Alligator mississippiensis: one gene and its partner. The protein of the gene in region 1 purifies or fractionates together with the protein of each later gene. This does not show direct contact. Links are inferred from orthologs where the notes say so. Each region holds a gene or a part of one and is shown on either strand. Other genes may lie near its edges.

What was found. Proteins that work in one complex are often made in the same cells at the same time.
Region 2: the proteins of CYFIP2 (region 1) and WASF2 purify together in Homo sapiens (co-immunoprecipitation; 3 studies listed by BioGRID and IntAct, with this or other methods). This does not show direct contact. The link is inferred for Alligator mississippiensis from reciprocal best matches to the Homo sapiens genes CYFIP2 and WASF2.

Annotation. Positions count from the first base shown.
Region 1 is NC_081832.1:77,889,275-77,896,987, reverse strand, and holds the start of CYFIP2 (cytoplasmic FMR1-interacting protein 2), read right to left. Parts: upstream 3,002-7,713; 5' UTR 2,920-3,001; intron 1-2,919. UniProt on the Homo sapiens protein: Involved in T-cell adhesion and p53/TP53-dependent induction of apoptosis. Does not bind RNA. As component of the WAVE1 complex, required for BDNF-NTRK2 endocytic trafficking and signaling from early endosomes.
Region 2 is NC_081829.1:2,438,658-2,445,956, reverse strand, and holds the start of WASF2 (actin-binding protein WASF2), read right to left. Parts: upstream 3,018-7,299; 5' UTR 2,924-3,017; intron 1-2,923. UniProt on the Homo sapiens protein: Downstream effector molecule involved in the transmission of signals from tyrosine kinase receptors and small GTPases to the actin cytoskeleton. Promotes formation of actin filaments. Part of the WAVE complex that regulates lamellipodia formation.

The DNA.
Region 1 (7,713 bases):
CATGGACAAGAGCTAGAAAGTGATTCAGGCTGTCTGCACTAGTCAGCTTGCTTTGGTCCAGCCGAAGAGACCCCTGCCCATGCCAAAACAGCTCTAAAAACTGCAGAGGGGGGATTTTACTGATCAGGGCACTCTAACCCAGCTGCCTGTGGTATCACAGACAGGGCAGCAGCGCCATGGGGAAGTGGGCAGAAAGCCTGGCACAGAGGACAGCAGCTGTGATGAGGAGAGATGGGCTTGTTTATGGCCACGGCCTGGCTCTTAAAGGATGCCCCACTTTGTGGCCTGTGCCAAGGACATCCACACTGCTGCTTATTTTTTATATCTTATATATTTCTTACATCTTATGGAGATGCACCACAGGTTTTCAAAGGATGCTGGTTTTCTACAGATTATGTGTCTCTCCTTCCAGATTTGTGCCTAGAGGCAGGTAGCGTGGGGTGCAGAGTACTTGGAAGTCGGGTGCAGAGAACTGGGGGGTTATTGCTGGCTGTGCTTGAACCCTGTCCACGGAGGTGACCCCCCGACACCCTGAAGGGAGAAGGCAGCAGTGGGATGGACCTTAGACCTAGACGTGGTGCTGAGCTGCCAGCATTGGGCTGGATGACTGCCAGGGTTGAGCTGTACTGTCTGCAGCACAGAGGGCTTCAGAGTGACCATAAATCAATGTAGATCTAGCCTCACAACCATCATGTTTCTGTGAAACCACCCTCCTTTGCTGAAGAGTCAGAAGAATAACTTCATCTGTGTGAACAGAGGAGAAGAATAAATTCATCTATCTCCATACTATGGGCAGAGGGAGGGGGTATACAAGTAGTCACTATATAGTGACCGCATGGCTGAAAACACGAGGAAGGGACGGAGCCAGGGGGAGAGAATGGGATTACAATGGACCGGGATGCAGGAGGAGGAAACATTCAGGATCGATCTCAGCCAGCGAGGCTTCTTCAGGCCCCATCTGTCCACCCCGACTCACGTGAAATAGGACTTCCAGGGGTGCACAGTCACTTTGCAATCCAGGAGATGCGTGCGGGGGGAGTGCAGCTCCCGGGGAGCCAGGCTTGCAGATCGGGGCTCCTGAGTCACTGCTACAAGTACGATTAATAAGCACGGCGCTCTCCTGCCCCTCTGCTACATCCCAGCCATGGCCAGCGGCCCTGTACGTGGAGTCCTTGAATCTGGACATAATCTAACCTCGCTAACCATCTTTTTTTTTGCTAGTCTAGAAGGTGCACCTCTACCATAAATGCAGACAAATAGGGCTAACTACCTTTCTCTTACCACCTCTGTGCTTTTGTGGGGGGGATGACTTAGCCAATATTTTCGTGGCAGGAGGTGACAAAGGAAAGGGATCCTGTGCTATTGTTTGGAAACGGCATTGCCAGAGTCCTGTCTAATTGGGATTGCTGGTAGATGACAGGGAAACATTCATTTCCTGGGAAACTCAATCTCACATAGGCAGAGAAGTGTAATGAATTGTGAGCCAAATGTTTGAAAAATCCCATCCTCCTTTCCTTGTTTTGTTCTTGTTGCTGCTATTGTTAATAGTGACAAGAACAACAATAATAGTTGCAGTATCACAGATTTGGGCTGCTCAGGCCGGGTTTGCTGGACAGACGCCGGCCCCACCGAGCAAGGTGCTGCGTGGTTCCTTTCGGCTTCCCTAAGGAAAATCAGCGGGAGGCATGAAGAGCTAAACTCTTCTCTCCAGGCAGCACCGCTGGATGGACGTGGGTTGAACAGACAGCAGGATTTAGCCCAAGTAATCCATCCCGGTGACCAGCATCTGACAGCTCTCCTCACCTAAGCCACCAGCAGCTGGTTCTTTCTGCTTCCCGTGTACAGCGGGCTGGCTCAGGTGGCTCGGCCGGCCCATAATCACTAGAGATCCCTCGGATCCAAAAACCACCGCCCCAGACCCCCGTGCTGAAAGCAGCAGATGGCTCGAGGGAGCCCAGTGAGGCTGCCCCTTGCTAAGGCTCTTTTCCCCTCTGAAGCATCAAGGTTTGTCCTGAATTCCCACCGCCAAGCAAATGCACAAACAACTCCAAGCCCCCGAGCACGCACAAAGGTCTCCGTTCGCCTCTCCCACCCCACCAGACCCCCTCAGCCTGCAGGCATTGCCTGCAACACCCACGGCTCCTTCCCTCACCCCGGGACCCGGCCGGCACCAAAGAGCTTGGGCTGGCAGGGGCGAGTGGGCAGGGACAGGTCTGCAGGCCCAGGCGGGGTCTCCAGGAGGGATGCTTCCATGGGACCCCAGCATCCAGGGGCTCCCTGGAGGGAAGCGCTCCCCGTACCCTCCTTAGGGAAGCAGGCAGCACCTTGCCTTCTGGGGCCAGGCCCTGGCTGACAAAGCCAGCACCGAGGAGCCCAAATGCAGTCATCCTCGCTGCTGCTACAGCTGCTGTGCTGGTTCCTTGGTGCTCCAGGCCCTGGCCAGACTCCTGCCCCACCTCTGCTGGGTCTGACCATGCCCATGCCCATGCCCGGTTCCCCTGCCCTCCAGCCCCATCTCTGCTGGGCCTGAACATGCCCATGCCTGCTTCCCCTGCACCCCAGCCCCTCTGCCCCATCTCTGCTGGGTCTGACCATGCCCATGCCCGGTTCCCCTGCCCTCCAGCCCCTCTGCCCCATCTCTGCTGGGTCTGACCATGCCCATGCCCGGTTCCCCTGCCCTCCAGCCCCTCTGCCCCATCTCTGCTGGGTCTGACCATGCCCATGCCCGGTTCCCCTGCACCCCAGCCCCCCTGCCCCATCTCTGCTGGGTCTGACAGTGGCCATGCCCAGCTCCCCTGCCCTCCAGCCCCATCCCTGCCTCTCCCACGCCCCAGGCAGGCTCTGGTCCTCCGGGCCCCTCCAGCCCCGGCAGCCGGGAGCATCCTGCTTGCCGCGGGATGGAGCGGGGGAGCCGCTTACCTGCGCCGCGGGGCCGGGCCGGGCCGGGCCGGGCCGCGCCGGGAGGAGGATGCTGCAGCCGCCGCCTCTGCTGCTGCAGCCGCTGCCGGTGCGTGCGCGTGTGCGCGTGTGAGCGAGTGTGAGCGCCTCCGTGTGTCACACAAAGAGAGGAAATGGCTGCAGCAAGTGCACTTCCTCGGCTCTCCGCTGCGCCCGGGCACCGGCCCCTGCAGCATCTACCTCTGCAGCATCTACCCCTGCCCCTACATCACCTACCCCTGCCCCTGCAGCATCTACCCCCTGCCCCTGCCCCTACATCATCTACCCCTGCAGCATCTACCCCTGCATCTACCCCTGCCCCTACATCACCTACCCCTGCCCCTGCAGCATCTACCCCCCTGCCCCTGCCCCTGCAGCATCTACCCCTGCATCTACCCCTGCCCCTACATCACCTACCCCTGCCCCTGCAGCATCTACCCCCCTGCCCCTGCCCCTACATCATCTACCCCTGCAGCATCTACCCCTGCCCCTACATCATCTACCCCTGCCCCTGCGGCATCTGCCCCTGCAGCATCTACCCCTCTGGCCCTGCCCCCCCCCCCAGCTCTTCCCCCAGAGATGCAAGGCTGCAGCAATGCCAGGTCCCCGGGGACCCCTGGGGTGCACCCCTGCCTCCTGGTCCCCTTCCCAAGGGAGGTTGTGACAGCGCAGGTGAGGCTGGACTATACAAGGAAATGTAGGACACGAGTGCTACTGGAGAGCGGCTTGGCAAGGGCAGGTGTGGTTTCAGCAGGGGGGCGTCCAAAAGGGCACGGTGCCATTGTTGTGCTTTTGCCACCAGCCTCCAAGGTCACCTCCAGAACGGGGGTTCCCAAACTCGGGCAGATGGAGCACCACCATTTAAAACGATACAGCCTTAAGTACCACTGGCAATTTTTTTAGTTCAACCTTAAGTGCCACCAGCAAGTTTTTATCATAAAATAATTATAATAAATCTGTTAACGTGTACCACTCTCAGGTTGTCCGGTATGCATCCCGCGGATTGGGAACTGCTGATCCAGAATATGGCAGGACCTACGATGGCCGATGGGCACCTGCTGGCTCCCAGGGAGAGGATCCCCTAGAGAAGGAAGAGCCGGGTGGTACGAAGGAGGTCTCACATCCATCCTCTCTCTGCTCCTTGTCTGGCTCAGCCACCTCCCTGTCAAACTGGAGTTGCCGCTCCATATCTGCATCCACCAGATGGAAGAAGAAGTGGTTTGAATGGGTCGACTGCGTAACGTCATGTTGCATGGCAATCCTTCTGGAGGAGCCAGAGCACCTTCTTTACAGCCGTGGCCAGCTTCGGGCATCGTCTGAGCTTTTCTCTGGCTATCAGGGTGGTTCAGCACCGGGTTGGATTCCTGAGAGAGCATCATGAGCCTCCTAGAGAAGACGACATCTAGTCCAACCCCCCCGCCTCAGGCAGGATCAGCCCTTTCCAGGCCCTGCCAGTTTGGAAGCTTTTAAGAGCAGATTAAACAAACACTTGTCCAGGGTGGTTGAGACAGGATTGATCCTGCCTTGAATTAGATGTGGCCTCCCAAGCTCCCTTCCAGCTGTAGTGTACTGTGATTTTCTGATGGGCTGGGATAGCAACATCAATGACTAGTGCTAGCCTGGTCATCTCATCCACAAACACGGTGTCTGAATATAAGAATTGCTGTCTACTGGGTCAGTCCTTAGGTCACAGAATAGAAATATAGAAAATTCAGGTTGGAAGAGAGCTCAGGAGTCACATCTAGTCCAGCCCCTGCTCCGAGCAGGACCAGCCCCAGCTACATCATCCCAGCCAAGGCTTTGTTGAGCTGGGTCTTAAACACTTCCAAGGATGGAGACTCCACCACCTCTCTAGGTAACCTGTTCCAGTGTTTTACTACCCTCCTAGAGAGAAAGTTTTTCTTAATATTCAATGTTATGACCCCTCATTCTTGCATTGGGAGAGAGAGTCAATAATAAATCCCGATTTACTTTCTTTTTCCAGTTAGTATTTGGTAGCCCCTTATCTGGGTGTGGTGGTTTGTGTGCCAAGGTTTGCTCCGCGATGGTTGACCTATCCCAATGTGTTTTGGTTTCATCATCTTCCAGCACTGGTGGCAATCTGTGCTTGCAGCGAGGGTCGGTAGCCTTGGCCATCTGTCCGGTACAAGCCAATCTGTAGGGCATTACCTTGGCCACAGCATTGTGCTGCTCAGTGCACGCTCAGGTCATGAGGTCCAGGCACCTGCCCATGAGACGGTGAATAGTTTCAGTGAGGAAGCCAAGCCCGCACCTGTCTGGCACGTCATCTTTCAGGGCAATGTCTTTTCTTCCAGTAGTCTGGTCCCAGATGTGAGCACACACGTGTGCATGCATGCTCACGCACACACACACACATGCATAGTGCCATGCTAACAGTTGAGTTGGGTGCATTTCTCAACAAGGAGAAATGCAAAGTGCTGCACCTAGGGAGGAAAAATGTCCAGCACACCTACAGCCTAGGGAATGACCTGCTGGGTGGCACAGAGGTGGAAAGGGATCTTGGAGTCCTAGTGGACTCCAAGATGAACGTGAGCCGGCAGTGTGACGAAGCCATCAGAAAAGCCAATGGCACTTTATCGTGCATCAGCAGATGCATGACAAATAGGTCCAGGGAGGTGATACTTCCCCTCTATCGGGCGCTGGTCAGACCGCAGTTGGAGTACTGCGTGCAATTCTGGGCGCCGCACTTCAAGAAGGATGCGGATAACCTGGAGAGGGTACAGCGAAGGGCAACTCGCATGGTCAAGGGCCTGCAGACCAAGCCCTACGAGGAGAGACTAGAGAAACTGGACCTTTTCAGCCTCCGCAAGAGAAGGTTGAGAGGCGACCTTGTGGCTGCCTATAAGTTCATCACGGGGGCACAGAAGGGAATTGGTGAGGATTTATTCACCAAGGCGCCCCCGGGGGTTACAAGAAACAATGGCCACAAGCTAGCAGAGAGCAGATTTAGATTGGACATTAGGAAGAACTTCTTCACAGTTCGAGTGGCCAAGGTCTGGAACGGGCTCCCAAGGGAGGTGGTGCTCTCCCCTACCCTGGGGGTCTTCAAGAGGAGGTTAGACGAGTATCTAGCTGGGGTCATCTAGACCCAGCACTCTTTCCTGCTTATGCAGGGGGTCGGACTTGATGATCTATTGAGGTCCCTTCCGACCCTAACATCTATGTATTACCACTTCTGGCTCGAGGGGTGAATCAAGTATTTGGAGTATTTGTCCAGGTTTGGAGGAGAACCTGGAGGTGGAATCAGATTCTGCTATTAGACTCCTAATTATTTGCAAAGGATGTGGCTGTCTGATTTCCCTGAATTTGTGAGGAGCCAGGGAACAGGACAGTTTCTTCGCTCGCAGCTCCAAGCCTCTTCCAGACGGCACTCGGCCCTAAAGCTCTCTCAGAGGCCATATTTCCAGTGGTTTTATCTTAAAGTTTTTGCTGCCTTCCCTCCCTGCTTCTCTGGCTTTTCTGCTGTTGCTCCCCCACATGTGTACCTTCACAGATCAATACCCAGAAAAACTCTCTTGCCTACATTTTCCTGTGCTTGGGATACAGGTTTCTGTGGGTTCAACATCCTGACTGCTGTAAGCATCTGGGTGGCTTTATTCAACCATTTTAAACCCTGCAGATTCACAGTCGTTTAGGCAAACCCATAGCAACCTCCTCCATCTTAGCTCTGCAGTGTATCCATGGAGTCTAAACTGGCAGCGCCGTTAGCCAGCTCATCTCAGCAGAAGCAATTCAGCAAATTGCACATGATGCAGTCTGAACTACAGACGTATTCCCAGAGCGTCTCCCTGCCAGGATATTTTCCTACCACCAGTCCCAAACAATTCAGCTCCCAACTAAATCTTGGAGTTTTCCTATCCCTGCCTGATTTCCTTTCAGGCAACCAGGATGAGCCCTCTCAATGATCCCCTGAAGATTTTTTTAGTCGCCAGTGCTGCTACAGGGATGCACGTGCCATCCTCACTGCACACTTCCTCCCCTACCTACAAATAAGGGTGCAAATGCTCTAGAGATTTAGCCACTGCCAGCACCCCTCTTGGGTGCTGCGATGCTTTCCCTCTGCAGAAGTCAGCCTTCGTTGCAATACGCTGTCGTGCTCTCAGGTTTTTTGTATTCTTGCATTAATACCGCCCCCAAACTGCGAGCGGTGGGATCGGCATCTAATGCAGAGGGTGACCCAAGTCAGGAGCAGTCACAAGGGCCTTCTGCTCTGAATTGCACCCGTGAGATCACTGAAATTGTTTCCCTTTCTCACCCGGCCTCTGCAACCGTTATGCAATATTAGCAAAACCACAAGTACACTTTCTGCAGCTGGATCATATCCTTGCAAAACTCGGAGGCCTGTGCATGCCTGGGGAGCTGCTCGGTTCCACGCAACCCTCGTTAGTTAGACTGCCTGTGGAAATTGTCCCCAACTTTTTGCTCAAGGTAAATGACCTCTTTTTAAAACAACTCACACTTTGCTAGGTAGTCTGGACTCAGACGGAGAGGCTGGAGCGTGAAGGGGCAAAAGGAGAGCTTATTCTCCCAGTGAAAACATAGATCCAGCTCACCGTTTTCCCTGTGCTCCTTGCACGCATGAAGCAAGCGAAGGGGATGGGGATGGGGATGGGTTGCCTGTGATGAAAGCAGGTGGAAGTGCATGTGGATACTGAACCCAGGATCTTTCAAGACAGCCAGGCAGATCCTGCTGGGTGGAGGCAATGGGAAAGGTCTAAGTACTGAGGTTGGAATCGATGATCTGGCGAGGTCCCT
Region 2 (7,299 bases), on another chromosome or scaffold:
AGACCCACTGACCAATGAGTCACTACTCATGAAAGTGTTCTCAACTGTAAGCTTTAAGATATGCTTTCTGTATTTATTTGGCACACAATACATTTCCTAGAGATGTGGGTATAAAATTTGGCTCAACAGAACATTACTACTAATTCAGCCCTTTTGCCAAAAAATTCGTCAATAGTTTTGTGGCTGTCTACTGCTTATTAAGACTGTTTTTTGTTTTGTTTTAAATACAGCACTACAAATACATTGCTGCACTCTGCATCAGTACTACTACCCAAAGCCCGCTTGCCTTTTTCTTCAGCTCTTATTCTAGCACGTTTTCCATTATCGTGAATGTTCTGGACACCCGTACAAATTTGAGCTTAGGAAGTTCACCAAAAACTTATCATGGCAAGGGGCAAACGAATGGTGAGTGGAGGTCCACCTTGAAGTTTTAAGGACCACTCAGCTTCCCCGGGTTCTACCAGTTTCATTGAATCATAGAAAATTTGGGGTGGGAGGGAGCTCAGGAGGTCACATGTAGTCCAACCCCCTGCTCCAAGCAAGACCAGCCCAACTACATCATCCCAGACAAAGCATTCACTGCCGCTCACCAGATTCAGAAGGAAAAGGCGGTGGTGAAACTGCCGGGTGTGTTGCTCATGTCACCTGCGGGTGCTTGGAAAGACCCTGGCCAGTAGAAGTGGTACTGGACCCAGTGGATCCAGACTCCGGTCTTAGCCACATAATTAACAACAGGCATGATAAATTTAAAAAATGATCAAGACAAGGCATGCTGCTGAATTTCCTCGCGGTAAAACTGAGGTGGCCCTGTCTTCCCTTCAGGATAGGTAATGCACACTGGTTACTCTGAGGCGCACACGTACATAAAAAACCCCCAACCAAAGTGAAGCAGGGCCTCAGAAAGATGTACAGTCCATTCATCCTGGAAGATTATTTTCTCGTAGCTTCCACCCACTCAGCATGGTGCTTGCACCCTCGTTTTGGCTAGGTTAAACCCTAAAGTTGATGAGCCTGCTATAGTCCTGGCAGGGAGAACAAAGGCTTTGGAGTTAAAAACAAACCCCAACACATAAAAACAACTCATAGTAGAAAACTCATGCTTTTGAATGCAGAGGTCCCAGGTTCAATCCCTGCTGCTGACAACACACTCAGGTCCTGCCTTCCAAGTGGTGGCTCACACAGGGATCTGGATTAGGTTGACCTCTGCACCTTAGGTCCAGCTTTCCCACTCACATTTTCAACAAAAACTCTCGCTCTCTCTCTCAAAAAAAAGCATAAAATCTGCAGAAGCATCTGGCCCGCTCAGTCCTCTCGCCAGGTAAAGCATTGATTGCGAGTCTGCAACTGATCAGATTTTCCAAGTCATACTATAAAGATATCATTGAAGTTTAAATTCGATTGGTTTAAAACACGAAATGGAAAAGGATAACTTAAATACAAGACAAAACCCGCTCAGAGCGCTCGACACAGAACTTCTGCTGAACCGAAAATCCTAACGCTGAACACGTCCATGTGAGCAGCTTTTAATAAGCACCGGCTCTGCAGGCATTTCAAACTAGTGTGAGACGTTTAGGCCCTTTTTCTTCCTCATTTGGCAAATACTGTGCAAGCGTGCACACTTAAATATTGCCCATTAAGTAACATTTCTCGTGTCAGTTCTACTGCAAGGCAGGGCCTTTGTTCTTCGCTGGCCCCGGCACGTCTTTCACTTTCAACTTTTCCCCCCTCTCGCAAGGCTTCCTGCTCTTAAGGATGTCATACAAGCGTAAGGAGCACAAAGGGCTTGACAAATTACAGCCCTGTCCACAGCAGAAACATCTTCTAAAAGCTCCTCCTCGCTGCTAACATCTCCTCTGATGCCTGGGATAGCGGGCGCCGTGCAGCAGGCAGGTCACCAACACTTTTAACACCCCGGGAAACAAACCCGCTCTCGGCATTTTAAAGCGGCATCGAAAACTGCCAGCCGCCCCCCCTGCGCGGGAGGGCGAGCGGGGCTGAGGATGTCACCGAGACACGTCCAGCCCAGGCAGCAGCACAAACTTTGAGAAAACTTCCCTGATGTCAGAGCAGGGCCCGAGGGCCGGGAAGTGCCGCAACTTCCCCCGGCCCGAAGGGATTCAGGGCTCGTGTCCTCCGAGTGCTGCTTTCGGGCAGGCCCAAGGACACGCGGGAGATGACACCCGTGTGGAGGTCAGCGCGGGGCTGCCCTGGGCCTGCTGCACCCCGCGCAGCCCCTCCGGGATGGGGGGCCGCCTAGGGCGAGGTGTCCTCGGCCCCACCCTGCCACGCCGGGACCACGCGCTCTCCCGCCCCCGGCACTGCTGCGGGTGGGGCACAGCACAGCCCCACGCACCTGTCGTGGCACCCCACACACCCCAAGGGGGGGAGGGGGCACACACCCCAAAGGGGGGGGGAGGGGGCACACACCCCAAAGGGGGGGGGAGGGGGCACACACCCCAAAGGGGGGGGGAGGGGGCACACACCCCAAAGGGGGGGGGAGGGGGCAACTCCACACACCCCAAGAGGGGGGAGGGGGCACACACCCCAAAGGGGGGGGAGGGGGCAACTCCACACACCCCAAGAGGGGGGAGGGGGCATACACCCCAAAGGGGGGGGAGAGGGCAACTCCACACACCCCAACGGGGGGGGAGGGGGCAGCCCCACACACCCCAAGGGGGGGGGAGGGGGCACACACCCCAAGGGGGGGGGAGGGGGCAGCCCCACACACCCCAAGGGGGGGGGAGGGGGCAAACACCCCAAGGGGGGGGCTATAACCCCATAAGCGGGGGGCAGCCCCCCTGGACCAGTCCCCCGGTCACTATGTGGCAGGAAGCGCCCCCCCACCACAGGCCCGTGGCTCCCTATGTGGCAGCGGCCTGGAGCCCGGCTGCCCCCCCTCGCCCTCCCGCGCGCGCTCGCTCACCCCCGCTTGGAGCCGCGTCTCGGCCGCCGCCGCCGCCGCTACCCCCGGGGCGGGCCGCCCCCGCCGGCCGCCATTCCGCGACTCCCCTCCCGCCCGCCCGGCCCGGCGCGGCCCCGCCCCGCCTCCCCGGGCGCCGGCGCGCCGCCCCATTGGCTCCCCGCCTGCCTCTCCCCGCATGCCATTGGCTGCTGGGCGCCGCCTGTCAAAGCCGCCGTGCTGCGCCGCTTGCGTACGACGCTAGCGTAACACCGGGGCCGCACCCAAGCGGGCGACGCAAACAGAGTAAACAAGGGGGAACGTACCACCCGCGGGGAGGGGAGGGGAGGGGAAGCGAAGCATGGCTGCTTGGGGTGGGAACTCAAGGCTAGCACTTGACGGAAATAGTTATGTGTCTTCTTTGGATGCCATTGGGCTGCCTTGTTTTTCTTTTTTTTTAGGGAACGGTGGGCATTTCCAGGGCTGACCCACCCCTCATTTGGCATTGGTCTTGTCCTACCCGCACGGCTCGTGAACTCTGAGGAAGGGTCCACTTCGGAAAAAGAAAAGGGGGAGGGGGGATACTAGTAGAGGGAAGGGCCCAAATGGAAACGAGAGCGGGGGTGGGGCTGGGCCTTCCGGCAGGGGGCGGAGCAGAGGCGGGCGGTGCCTGTTTAACCCCTGCAGTGCCGCAGCCTGGCCTGCCTGCCACTTCCGGATTAAGAGGCACAACTAGCAGGGCAAGGAAATGGGCACAAGTCACATCAGCAGCACGAGCCAGAGGCCTCCATCTGCTCAGCCCACGAGGGATGGAGTGCCCTTGCAAATGCATTATAATTAATTCACTAAGTGCCACCCTACATTTGGGGTCCCCCCCCAAATCCCAATATATGCCCTTTGCAATGCTGCAGGGACGCGCGGCAGGCGAGAGCAGTGCAGGCGCTCCCCTTTGCACCAATGGCACACGCGTAGGAGCAAACTCCCCGATTCCCTCCCGGCCTTAGGGAAAGTTAGAGCAGCCTGGGGGTCGCTCTAAACTGTGCCAGCTGGAGCTGGATTAGGCACTAGCTAGAGCGCACCACAGCCCACCTACTTCCCCCTTGCGTTTCCACGTGCCACGGGAAGCTGGCTGCGCTGGGGACGTGGGACGGGAGCGGGGTGGGGTGGGGAAAGCAGCTCGTCCTCGCCCCACTTTGCGCACAGCACAAAGAGAACAGCCCAGGGACCCTCCTGGACTCCCCCGGCGCCCGCAGACGACACACCTGCCACACGAGCCACGTGCAAGGCCCGCGCAGCTCTCCGTCTCCCCTCCCGCAGCGCAGCACCTCGCGGGGCTGCCACAGCAAAGGCCAACAAAGGACGGCTCGGCAGCTGAACGCCGCAGCAACTGGGTCAGCGAGCATCTCCAGGGCTGAAGGTCACGCTCGTCTTAATCAGCACCTGCCAATCTGCCAGTGCTCCCTGACCGCATCCCATCTCCCCCCCCCCCTTCCCTGGGGCCTGCCTTTAGCTCACATCTTGAAATAATCAGGACTAATTACTTGGCGCCACCCCTCCAGGAGCTCCTCCCATCAGCACCAGGGATTCTCAAGCAGGGTGCCCTGAGATCCTCCCCGGGGTGCCACTGCCCGGTTAGCGATTCAGGAGAAAAACCCAGAGGTTTCAAATAGGAATCCGCAGCTGGGGTCTTTCCGAGTGCTTTGCCACAGGGAAAAAAAAAAATGCTCGTGTTATTTTTCTGTAGTCCAAAAAAACAGTGAAAGCGAAGAGCTGGCATTTTCCCAGGGGACCTTGAGTCTACGCCGGGACGAAGTTGAGAGCAACGGATCTACGCTCTCCCCGTGAGAAGCCCCTTGCCCGGTGCCCCGCACCTCTGCGGTGCTAACAAGCTCGCACCGCCGCAAGGCGTAGCCTCTGCCCCAACGGGAAGGTGCTGGAGGTTTTGGACTCCAGGTTTTCCTCGCTGCCAGTTCACTCGAAGAGGATTTGCTTCTCTCTCTAGGTGTCATAGCCTCAAGGGAGCCACCTAATCTGTGTCTGCTCTGCAACCTTTATCTCGGGGGGGGGGGGGGTGCTTGCACGCACACGTGTCTCAGTTTAGCCCTCCTGAATATGTGCTGTGCTGCAGTATCCCAGGCAGCCGCGCTGCCCCCTGACACTTATTTCTCTCCTGGAAAGGATCTCATCACCTGCCAATTGCCTTTCTGTATTTTCTGCCTGTAAATGATCCTCTGGCTGCGCTGCCCTGCAGACCGCCAAGGTGACTAGCTGAGCAGCTGGCGTGGGCGGGGGGGGGGGAGATGATGGAGGCTTTTCCATGACACGCTGCTTTCATGGTGAACTTCAGTCCTGAGCTTATGCTCCTTTTTTCTATCCTTCCCCAGCGCTGCAATCTCATTACGTTAAGCCCGTGGGTTGTGCCTGTCAAAATCTTAGTGCCGACCACCGAAGGGGGCCAGCAGACCGAACGAGGCCTTCTGGAAATAAGATGCTTGATCTCGGGGAGCTAAGTAAGATCAAGCCACTGCCCATCTGGACTCGGGAGGGCTCACTGGGCCATCGCACTGCAACTCTGCGTGGAGCTGACCATGTGCTCGGAGCTGCACAGGGTGATCTCTTCACGGCACTGCAGCATAACGGCAGCGTGTGTCGATAGGCAACTGCTTCGGTGCTAACAACCGCGTGGGTATTGCAGCACATCCGAGTACATCCCCGCTGCCCACATAACACGGGGGGTCTCTAGGAACGGGGGGCCTAAAAGCCTCCTTGCTCATCTGTAGCCCAGCACGTACCCAGGATTTCGGACAGGTTTGTCCAGCCTGCGTTGGAGCCTGTGCCGCTGCATTGCTAATCCCCGGGCAGGCTCGGTACGTGCTGCCGTCTCACCTGGGACTGCACGGTTGCCCTGCCTGAGGAGGGGTGCACGGAGCAGCGCACCCTCCGACCGAGAGGCACCCGCAGATTGCGACTGGCTTTGGGAAACGGAGGCAACGGGCAGGGATTTGCACCTGGCCTCGACATTAGAGCAACGCCTCCGGGGCCGAGCACTTGTTCACGTGCAGGCCTCCGAACCGGACCAAAGCTGAAGGGATGCGGGGACCGAAGAGCATCAAGTAAAGCCAGCCCGTCGAGCTGATTGATCTGCTTTGTGAAGACAGAGCGGTGGTGCAGTGCTGTGTGTTGGGGGCGGACGTGAAATCCTGCCTGTGAGCTTCAGCGGTCCCTTGGTTTTCCCAGCCAGCTGCTCACTTGTGCTGCGTGGAGGAGAGCTCTGCTTACATTTCTCATTCTGATAAGCTGCAAGGGAGGTTTGCGACGCGCTGGCTCGTCACGCCGTCAGCACTTTATGGACACGAAAACGGGCCTGTTCTTCAAAAGGGGCTCAACTCAGCGACCGAAGCCCCCAGGACCCCGAAATGACCTGTTTTGTAGGGAGGCCACGTAGCCTCGTGGTGACAGAGCAGGGCTGGGAGCTGGGAGCAGCGAGGTTTGATCCAGGCGCCGAGCTGCGACAGCGACTGGCATCACGTCAGTCCTAACCACAAACCCCTTTATCTCTCCGAGTCGCCGTTTCTCTCTCCGCAAGACGGAGACAGCTGCGCTTTTCTGTTTTGCAGAGCGCTCCGGTTTGTCATCCTCGAGATCTTCTGCCGGAGCCTGATCAGCATGGCACCCCAAGCCCAGCGGCCAGGCCAAGGGCCAAGGAGCACGCATCTTGCACCCCAGTCTCCCCCTTCGATTGATGCTTGCACGGGGCGCAGCGAGGGGCCGCGATAAACCTCGGGGGGGCTGGAGACCTGGGCTGGCAGCGGTCACGATGGCAAAGTGACAACGCCAGCACTGCCCAGGGGTCAGCGGGATCCCGGTTCCCCGTGGGCACGGAGGTGCCCTCGCCCCCAGCCTGGCTCGCTGCTTTGCCCGTGCCGCCGGGCGCCCAGGCCGGCGCTGGCGCTGGTGGAGGGCACTTGCGGGAACGCAGCGGTGCTGCTGACATTTACTAATCAGCGCTAACCTTAGATCCACACACACGCCGTCTCGCTCACTGTCTTGTCTCCATGGAGACACTGCAACCTTTGCTCACTAGTTAACGGTATCTCAGAAAAAACGAAACTCCGACGCCACCCTTCCTCCCGGCTCCCGCCCCCGTGGGAAGGGGGAACTTGCCCAGAGGAGACAAAACCTGGCTGTCGCCTCCGAGATATTTTGCATCTGCAGCCAGGGACAAGGGTGAGGCGGTGCTAAGAGGCAGGCAGGATTTGGCCCCCCGCCACCGAGTGCAAGAAGCGGGCTGGCACGGCCAGTTTGGGTGGCACTGATGCAGTGGGCAATAAAGACATGGTCTTATTTTGCATGGTCCACCCCAGAAACCAACTCAGGGAGTTTTTATTGCAGCAGCCGAA